Drosophila melanogaster: one gene and its partners. The protein of the gene in region 1 interacts with the protein of each later gene in a pairwise test. Each region holds a gene or a part of one and is shown on either strand. Other genes may lie near its edges.

Region 1 (3,417 bases):
GTAAAACTCCAAAATATATATATTTTTTGTTAATAATTAAAAACATCCCGACGTTTACTGTGTATACATATTAAATCAATATTAAATATAATTACCTTGATGCAAATACAAATATTTGGATTTCTAAACATTACCAATTAGATTTTCCAATTGGACTTTGCAGTCTAGTTGGACACACACGGACGCACGCACACGCGCAAACTTCAATATGGCGGCCGCGACAAAAACGAGACAGAAGATCCTTCTGCTGATCTTACAAAATCGGATAAATAAATAAATTTGCTAGTTTTTTTTTTGTTTTGGGCAGGGCTCGCGTGCTTAAGTTCAACTTGAAAAAGTCGCAAGTGACTACTGTGCGATCCCTGGAATCTCAAGCGGGAAAAAAATAAAGATAAAATGTGTACACAGGTACATACATACATATGTACATACATATATGTATTTATGTACGTAAGGAGCAGCTGCCCTCTTTTGTTGTTGCACTTAAAGTCGCTAAAATGCGGTGCGTTCGCTTGTCAAAATTGCAGCAGCATTCAGCCTTTTTTATGTTAAGAAGCCACAAAGAGATGACGCAGTCGAAATGGTTAAATGAATTAACCCTTTTACTTTGCACAAACACACACACACACATGTGCTTGCAACAGGCAATACAGTGGCTACAACAACAATAGCAGACAGGGCTTTGTGATTTTTCTGGCCGTTCTTGTAGTTTTTTGCCCAACACACGGATTAAGCTACACCCTCGGAAAAATATTCGACACAAAATCACGCGATTTAAACTAAAAAATAAATAAATAACACAATTGCGCGGAAACTTGGGAATACACGGCGCTAAGGATATCGATTACTTATTACTTATTACTTTTTATCGATTCGCATCGTCGGAGCATTCGCAGGGTACTGCCAACTTATCTCAATTTCCTAAAGGTCATTGAACTCAAATATATATATAAAAAAACGAATGTAGCATTGCATTTATAGCCATTGATTAATATGAAAGGAAAGTATGTATAAAAGTGCAACCAGTATTTGAACTTGCATAAGTTAAAAATCAAAAGTTAGCTTAGGTCCTATGATTACACCAATCTATTTGACCAAAGTACATAATTAAATATTACATCCAAAATTCAATTGTTCCTGTACAAGTGTACTAACTTTTTGGCGTTTCATGAGCGGCTCGTGTGTACAAACATTTATTTAAATGCTTACCCCCACCCCGTAGCCACTTCAGATGAAGCTGGAGCTGGAGCCGAATCTGAAGCTTGGAGCTTGAAGTTTGGAGCACGGTGGAGAATTGCGCGTAAATTCGTTGCGGTCTGCGCGTCATCAACGTAATCGCCGTCAACAGCAGTCAACAGCATCAAACTGGCAGGCAAATGTTGCTACTGTTTCCAGACGCAGTCCGTCCGGCCAACAGAAGCAAACGAAGCAACAGAAGCACCAACCGCCGCAGTGAAGTGGTTTTTTATGATCAGACGAGATGAGCCGAGCCCAAAGCAGCACTTTCCATCCGAGAAAGAAACCGAGGCTACAACAAAAGCGTGTCTTTCGAGTTCGCTAATGGGAACTACATATATGTATGTACATACATATGTACATTCCGGGTACAAAGTGCATTTTGTGGAAACCCTTTGGGCAGAATGTAAACCATTAACAAATTGTAGCAGACCTATGGCCTATACATTTCTTATTTGTTTTAACTGTTTTGACTCTTATAAATGAACATATTTTCAAGAATCTGAATTAAATTGTAAATTAGTAGAATGAAGCTCTTTCGAAACTACCTCGCTTTGCTCCTTCCGTTTGATCATTTGACCATTTTTGACCATTTGCTTTAGGTTATGGCATTTTGTCCATTTCGTATTGGTCATTCGGTTTTGGCCATTAATTTCGTTATATCATTTCGTTTTTGTCTTGCTTTGGTTATTTCGTTTTGGTCTTTCATCTTAGTCAGTTCGTTTTGACCATTCGTTTGGGCCGCTTATGTAGTTTTAGCCAAATCTTTTTGACCAAATTGACTTGAGCTTAGTTCCTGGCTCTACATATTCTGTTATTTTTTTTTTTTTTTAATTTTTGAGCTGGAATTAAAGCGTTTCACTTCAAACATAGTACACCTGTCGCACAGACTTATTGTAGTTAGTTTTGTCAAGCGTTCGAAGCGACTGCAGAAATGAGGGTCTACTTGTATCAAATGCGCCCGGTGCTCTTTCTCTTCTACATGGTGGAGACGACGGCCAACTTATTCGTTTTGTACTACCAACTGAAAGCATTTGTTTTCGTCAATCTGACAACGATGAAATGGGAAGATGTTCTAATCCAAAGCTTTTATATGTCCTTCTTTTACATATTCACAGTGGTAACGCTCTTTGCCAGCATAAATCTCTGCACCGGTCATCGCACATCGATCGTTGAGGAAGTTGTGCGTCCTCTGATCGGATTTGTTCTATATACGGTAATATCGTTGATGGCACTGGGCGATGCCGAGACGGATTTCTATATATGGTATGATGGAAGGAACCCGGATGATTTACTATATCCGGAGAAGCCGCTCCATCCGTTCTTCGGTAGCCTGCGGGACCAGGCGACAGCCTCATTGGTGTCCAGTGTTATCTATCTGCTGCACTGCCTCATTGCGTTGGATGTCCTTCTGTCGAATGACGATTCGGATAACGAACGCGAGTCATCCAATTCCTCCGACGATGTGAACGAAGAGGTCGACTACGTTCCAGTGCGTCTGTACGTCTTTGGCGGCGTGATGCAACGCTGGCTGGAGCAGTTCGACTGGTTTCAGGACTTTACCCACAGTGGAGTCACAGATATCTGATATTTTATCATTAACTTCATTTATACAACTACAAATTACATGATAAACAAAACTTCGCATCGCTTTTCTCGGTGATTATGCAGCCTTTGGATTTTGGTTACATTCGGTGCAAGAAACCCTAATCATCAGCATTCCCATGACGTCAGTGGGAAGCAACAGTTCGGTCTCTGCATCATATAAAGCTCATTGTCGTCAATGTGCCAGTGATAAGCAGCTGGGGCCAAAACATCTACATAAGTACGCGTATCTATAGTATCTATGTATCTTGGTACGAGTATCTGTATCTGCTAGTGCGCAGGTCCAAAGTTAAAGCGAACAATCGATATATGTACTATGATGTTTGGGGCAAAGCGGCAGTCAAGAGCAAGGTGAAGCATTGCCCCGGTGCTCCTGGGTGTGGTGCTTTTTTCATTCATAAAAAAAAACTGGTCCACATGACATGTGGACACATTCAAGGCTATTTCTAGACCAGACCAAGGATGTCCTTATGCCTCTCATAAACTATGCAATATGATTAGAAAGTCTGAATGTTTAGAATTAGTTTTATAAACTCACAAACTTCGGTGGATCAAAAAGTTTGGCCAGGTGAAGCT
Region 2 (3,534 bases), on another chromosome or scaffold:
CGAGTGGCTGCTTGGGCGAAGCCAATGGCAACTCCTCCAGATTGTTGTTGTTGGACGCACTGGAGGCGTTTGGTGGGTTGTTGCTCCAGTCGGTCGGCTCCTGTTTGATGGTGAGGAAGTTGTGCGGATGTCGAAGGGTCGGCGGATGTGATGGTGGTGCCTGCTGTGGTGGTGGCGGAGGTGTGGCTGCCAGGCGAGAGGATACCACGTGCTCAAAGTGTGGTGCTTCATAGTAGTCCCGAGCTGAGGGGAATAAAACATGGGATTAGTCATCATTAGCAGCTGTGCTGAGTACTCTTACTCACATCTTTCGCATGCGCTCTCCCTCCTCAGACGTCGCTCGAAGACCAGGCCCACCTCGTTCCGCTCACGAAGTGCCTGCTCCTCGTACTCTGTCCGCCGCAGCGTGGTCTCCGCTTGGTCAGCACCTGGTCCGGCGGTCAGGGGACAACTGCTGCAGCCCACCTCCGTGCAAATGGAAATGGGCTGCGATGGCGGGGCACCTGAACCTCCAACTGATCCTCCTCCTCCTCCTACTGTTGTCGTTGTGGTGGTTGGTGGTGGTGGGTGAGACTGCGACTCCAACTGACCGGGTGCCGCGAAACAGCATTTGTCCTCCGGATCGATGGCCACCTCCTTGTTGACGGAAATGCCCAACTTGCTGCTGCTCGCGACGGTTAGTAGTCCTGTGTGGGCGGCCAATTTGGGTGACTTAATGATCACAGGCGAGTCCTTGGGCATCACGGAGGCACCAAGTCCACGAAACTGCTGCTGGGGATTATGGTGATTCAGGTGGCTGTGGTGTGACGACAGGTGGTGGTGATCCAAAGCGAAACGTGTCGATCCACCCGGCTTGCTGGCATATAGATCTCCCTGAAGTTGCGCCGACATGGTTGATTGTGGCGGCGGCGGAGGGGGCGGCAAAGCGGTTCGAGTGCCATTCGACATGTACATGGTGCTAGCCTCTCGCGGATGCAGATGCCCGGCCAGTGAATGGGGATGATGTGTGGTCGTGACCACTGAGCCGGATCCACCGCCATTGGAAGAGCTGGTGCGGCAGAGGCCACGGATCTTGAGGATCTCACCGCCGCGCAGGACCTCGTTAAGTATGTCGTTGGAAACTGTGGCCTCGCCGCTGTACATGTACTGAACCAGGATCTGGATGGCGCGATGGCTAAGATCCGGCGGCAGGACCACATACAGCACTCCATTGGGATTGGTGATCGGTGCCGTTTCGAACATGGTGGCGAAGAACTGGGACGAAGCACTCAGGATGAACTTGTGGGCCGAGATGCCCACTGTGGGTATATCCGAGGGGATGCCGCTGCTGTTGTAGGAGCTGTACAGAACCACATCGGCGAACTTTTCGTTCCTAAAGGGGAAATATGATGCGTTAATATAGCATATCTACGTATTTTGTAGTACTCTTGGAGAATATTGAAGAAGGGTTCTTAGAAAATGTGTGTTTAATCCTCTGACCCTGATACATTTAATGTTTTTAACATTAAACAATTAAAAACGCTGCTAGATCACAATTACAAAAAACAAAAAACTTCAAATATGTACCAACTATGGTACAGTGGTACTTACTTATAAAGTGTGGCTATGGAAGAGTTAAGATAGGTGAGGTGTGAGTCCCACTTAAGGTGATAGTTTTCGGCGGCCATCTCTGCGGCCGGCAGCTCCTGTACAACGATAAAATCAATAAATAAATCAATAAATGCCGCCAGTGGGGTGTTTATTTTGAATCTCCCGATCCCACCACACCACCCAAGGAGTGGTGAATAGAGGGTTTAGCCACCATGCTCTTGTGACAGCATATTTCTCACACGAAGCAACGGTCATACTTATTCGCTAGCTTCCATTTGTTTACATATTTTCATTTGTGTTTATTTTGAAAATATCAAAATGTCGCAGTTCGACACGCGACTTATTGAGCTGGTTAGGGCTAATCCCAAGCTTTATGAGCGCGAACTTAGAAACGCACCCTACGAAGCGCATAAGAAGCGACATCCGGAAATCTGGAGCAGCATCGCCACTTCATTAAATTCAGAAGGTAAGAAACTGATAAATTGTATAAATATTCCCTAATTCCTCATTATATTTTAACTTAGCTAGTGCCTGTGTCAGTCGTTGGAATCATCTGGTGGCCAAACAGCGTCGGGAGCTGGCCAAAGAAAAGGCCGGAGGCACTGGCTCCGATTGGAGTCTTCTGCCGCATTTGAAATTCCTGCAGCATCACCACCATCCGATTAATCACCGAAATTCGGGTGATCTGAGTAGGAGCACACTGAAATCCAGCGACGAGGTCAACGATGATGAGGATCCGCTCCAGGAGGCCATGGATGAGCAGCTGGCCGTTGCGGGAGCTGCACCAGCACCACCCACAAATCCTGCCCATGCAACGCCAGTGGCTCAAGCAGAAAAGAGGATAGAAGCCCTGCTTGAAGGACTGGGCGAAGCAAACCGAATTAAGGCGGAGAAACGCATTCTGGCCTACCTATGCAAATGCAATCTGCGCGCCCTGAACGACGAGCAAATCGATGATATAGTTATTTAGGAAGATTGCCAAGATGATATAGTTATAAAGGAAGATTGCCATGATGATAAGTTAAATACATACATGCCGTGATAGGATATCAAAAGTAGCAAACATCACTGATCATATAATTGTTTAATAATTAAGTCATTTTTGTTATAGTTTATATATCTGGACAATTATCTTAAGCGAATACTAAATAACTTCTTTTTCCAAATGTATGCTTCCCTAAAAAATATTGTTAATCCATTCATTTAACCTAATCTTCGCATCTAATGAAGTTTACTATACAAACTAACTATTGCATTGTATGATATGATAAAACATTAACACGCCTGTGATTAAATAGTTTATTTTATTTGAGGCTTAAGATTAGCAATTTAAAATTCAAGACAACTGGTAAACCCCAAACAAAGCATCAATTGTCGCCAGAGGTCATTTATAGAGCCAGAGACTTGCGGGAGTGTATAGTAATGCAGTAGGAAGCTATCTGTGTGGCAAAAGCCAACTTTGAACAGGCGGGCGGGGAGCAGGTGGAGTAGGCGAGGGAAAATCGAATTGAGCCACGCCAAAAAACTCCTACTATGACGCAGCTGCTGCTGGGAACTGGTCAAAGAGTCAAAGAATGCGCGCGCAAGCAATAACATGTCCAATATCCATGTCTGGATCGGATCGGGGGAAGGCCTCCAGCACGGGGACAGGGCGACGACGACGCCAAAACAAGCATTTAGTTTATTAATTTGACGACTGCCGCAGGGGGAGCAGTGGGCCGAAACAAAAACATAACGAGCGAGGAGCGTCGTGCACCCTTAACGACTGATGCCACACTACCACTACCCCCTCGTACCGACTGAGTCCCCCTTACTTCACACGTACATGGTGAACCCTCCGACGCACTAAGCCACTATATGAACCAACTACTCCTACGGCCAGCCACCTACCCACTAGACCATTCCCATTCCCAATCCCCGGACTCAGCTCTTGGTATTAACACC
Region 3 (3,232 bases), on another chromosome or scaffold:
ACTCGGCGGCTTTCTTGATGATTGGCTAGCAAAAAGTTTTTGTGGCAGCCGCAATGTCGCCCAAGGAGTTCGTGTGCCATGTCCTGCGTCCTGCGTCCTGCGTCTTTCGTCCTGTGTACTATGTACTGTGTCCTTTGCACTCGACTGCGCTGAGTCGAGTTAATGAAAGGCCAAGTCAAATGCCTCACTGATTGCATTGACATCCTTCTGGCCCTTTTTGGCCCTCTTGGCCCAAAATGTATTTGGCCAAACTTTACGTATGATTTGCTGGGAAAATTGAAATTTGCCCTGCATCCTGTGGGGTCGACTGGGATTCATTATTACGTCCACACATCCGCCCCATCAAGTCGGTTCTGCAGTTCACAGTCTGCGATTTGCATTTCAATTATGTTCAAATTGCATCTTCCATATCTGCCATTTCAAATATTATTCAAGCAGGGGGAAAATTTTGTGTTTGGCTTCCCAGTCCACCCATATATGTACATATGTACATGCATACATACATATTTGGTCAGCAAACTGAAATTTTCTGTTATTTATTTGGCCATGTTTCTTGCGAATTTTCGGAAAATAAAGACTCTGATTGACTTATTATTGCATTATGTATTTCCACCAGTTCTACGTTACTTTGCATAAAACAAATCAATAAAAAGCAGACGAGTTTAAAACAATGCATGTCTACTATTTTGCTCTAATACAATTATTAATCACTGTATACAAATAATAATAATGAAAATCACACTTATACTAAGCACAATCGTGTGTAATTTCCATTAGAGGGCGTTTGATCTGATTAGAAGACTCAACAATGAACTGTGATGAAGCCCATTGTGTCTGTCATGTGTGTGTACATATATGTATGTAGTAATGTATATATGTATACTTTATTTTTTGTTTATTTGGTAAATTACGAGGCGATAGTTCCACTCTGCTTGCCCTTAAAATAACACTGGAGAATCAGGTATGGATAGTCGCACGTGTCCAGATTGGTGACGCCATCGAACTGCTGCTTACACTGGGACAAAATCACGTGGTCCTCTTGAGATCCTCGCTTTCCCACCTTCTGCAGATCGATTTTCCCATCATCACCGAAATAATCCTGGATCAGACACCGGCTATAGCACTTAACGGCCACTGGAACATCCGCAACGGGAGTGGATGGAGCCACTGCCTGCACTTGGGCACTGGTCAGATTGTGGTGCTTTAGGCAACCCTCTGCGTTAACGCGGCCAGCTGATTGCCACTAGAATAGATGGTATTGTTAGATGGACACATAACTATTTCGTTAAGAACTGACCATAGTTATCAAGCAAATCCATAGTACAGCTATGCTGCACACAACCTTCATGGCGAAAATCTGTTTCCCAACTAACAATGAGCGCATCATCACAGCTCTATATATATAACCCATCGATTTGCTAATTCAGCTCAAAAGTAGACAGGAGATTTTAATTAAATAATTGGATGCTACTTTACATTCGCCACACACCAACAAATAAAGTCTATAATTGAAATTTTAAGCGCAGTTCCCGATTATGAGCTACACGTATGTCGTATGCGCAATATCTGCATTACAATTGCCAATAGTAAATTACCAACTTGGTTTTCTTCATATTTATTAAGATAGAAAACATACAATTTTTGGCTTTTACACTCCAAGCATCTCTGAAGTTTAAACAAAAAACATATGTGTAGCCTATCTACTGTATTGGACTTTATTCGTATATTTTATATGGTTCATTAATATAGGTATAAATACAAATTATATTCACGCTTTGCGATTTGCAGCGAATATCACATCTTATACACGATGTAAAAAAAAAAAAAATATTTCGTCATGTTTTTAGGTTGGCCGCAGGCAGTGCTCACTGTACCGCCACAATGTTTATCGTTTTGCATTTTTTTTTTCTTTGTTTTCTTGCGGTTTCCCCTAATTATCTTTAGTATAAACTTAGTCTACTGTCTTTTTTGGTAAGTATTTTCGTGATGGGCTCGTCTATGCGAATTCCCATTTCCAATGAATAAATAAAGTAATTAGAACATTAAAATTAGCAATAAAACACGTACATTTAAAGCTGACAACAAAAAAAAAAAGTATTCTTATGTTAAACTGTAGTATGTGCCTATGCAATATTAAGAACAATTAAATAAAATAGCATATTAACTTATGGCAGCACTTTGTTGCTATGTTTATGTTTATGTTTATGCACGCAGTTAGGCCAGGGCGGATGTAACATGATCACCCACTCGAAGGCAAAAAGTATAAGTGCATGGTCAGCATTCACACGCCGACCAAATACATATTACATACGTACATACATATCTCGCTCTCCCGATAAGCCTAGATATATAAGATATACATAAGAACGCCGCTCCGCTGCTGGCGTACCCGGCAGCGCAGCTACGCGGATTAGCCTAAGTCCAAATATATTAAAAACTGTAAAATCAGAGAGACTCTGTAGACGTTGAGCTGACAGAACCATTTCTGCCTACTCTAAAATCAAAAGAAGAAATTGAATAAATATATGTCAGCCCGACGGCTGCCTTCAACTTAAAACGGACTTGTGTTCTGAATTGGAGTTCATCATTACATGGCGACCGTGACAGTCGTCCAACGCTGGACGAATTGACCAAAGCTGGTGAAAACAAAGGAACAAAGGAACACTGGACTGGAAGAAGACTGGACTAATTAAATGGAACTGCAAAAACCAAGGAAAAATCTGAGTGAGTAGAGTTCTATTGAGTATGGGCAAACACCGTGGCGGTTTGAAAACTAAGCTGAATAAACGTATAGCCCACGTAAGGTGGCTAATATACGGTCAGCAAACGCCACCGGTTTGGTCGAAAGCTCTAAAGCTACATGCAGAGCTAGACCACTTGTTGCAATATCAGCAAGAATTAAAGACCCATAAGCTCGAGAAAACTCACTCAGATAATATTAAAAATATACCCACAATTAATGAAGTTCCAAAATACCAGGCATGTCCAGCACCAGCACCAGCATTAACAAAACCAAAGAAGTCCTGCCCCCCTGGCTGCGAAGGAATCTGGAGTCCCCACTGCCTGGGGACTTGTGAGCGACCATCGACGTCTTCAGCGGCGAAGAAATAGACAGCAGCGAGGGAGTGTCAGCGTGCCACCCCCGGCGACGCCCAGCTGACACCTGATGAGCATCATCAACAGCAGAATATAATAATAAATATATATAAATATAAAGTAAATATAAAATATA

What was found.
Region 2: the proteins of CG14315 (region 1) and CG6683 interact in a two-hybrid assay, tested with the Drosophila melanogaster proteins (one large-scale study listed by BioGRID).
Region 3: the proteins of CG14315 (region 1) and Obp18a interact in a two-hybrid assay, tested with the Drosophila melanogaster proteins (one large-scale study listed by BioGRID).

Annotation. Positions count from the first base shown.
Region 1 is NT_033777.3:18,156,600-18,160,016, forward strand, and holds CG14315 (uncharacterized protein), read left to right. Parts: upstream 1-2,101; 5' UTR 2,102-2,170; coding exon 2,171-2,824; 3' UTR 2,825-2,872; downstream 2,873-3,417.
Region 2 is NT_037436.4:8,513,222-8,516,755, reverse strand, and holds CG6683 (uncharacterized protein), read left to right. Parts: upstream 1-1,834; 5' UTR 1,835-1,908; coding exon 1,909-2,056; intron 2,057-2,114; coding exon 2,115-2,560; 3' UTR 2,561-2,882; downstream 2,883-3,534. Other genes in the region: CG6765 (uncharacterized protein), read right to left, coding at 1-243, 306-1,372, 1,591-1,667.
Region 3 is NC_004354.4:19,134,496-19,137,727, forward strand, and holds Obp18a (Odorant-binding protein 18a), read right to left. Parts: upstream 1,374-3,232; 5' UTR 1,349-1,373; coding exon 1,298-1,348; intron 1,244-1,297; coding exon 908-1,243; 3' UTR 586-907; downstream 1-585.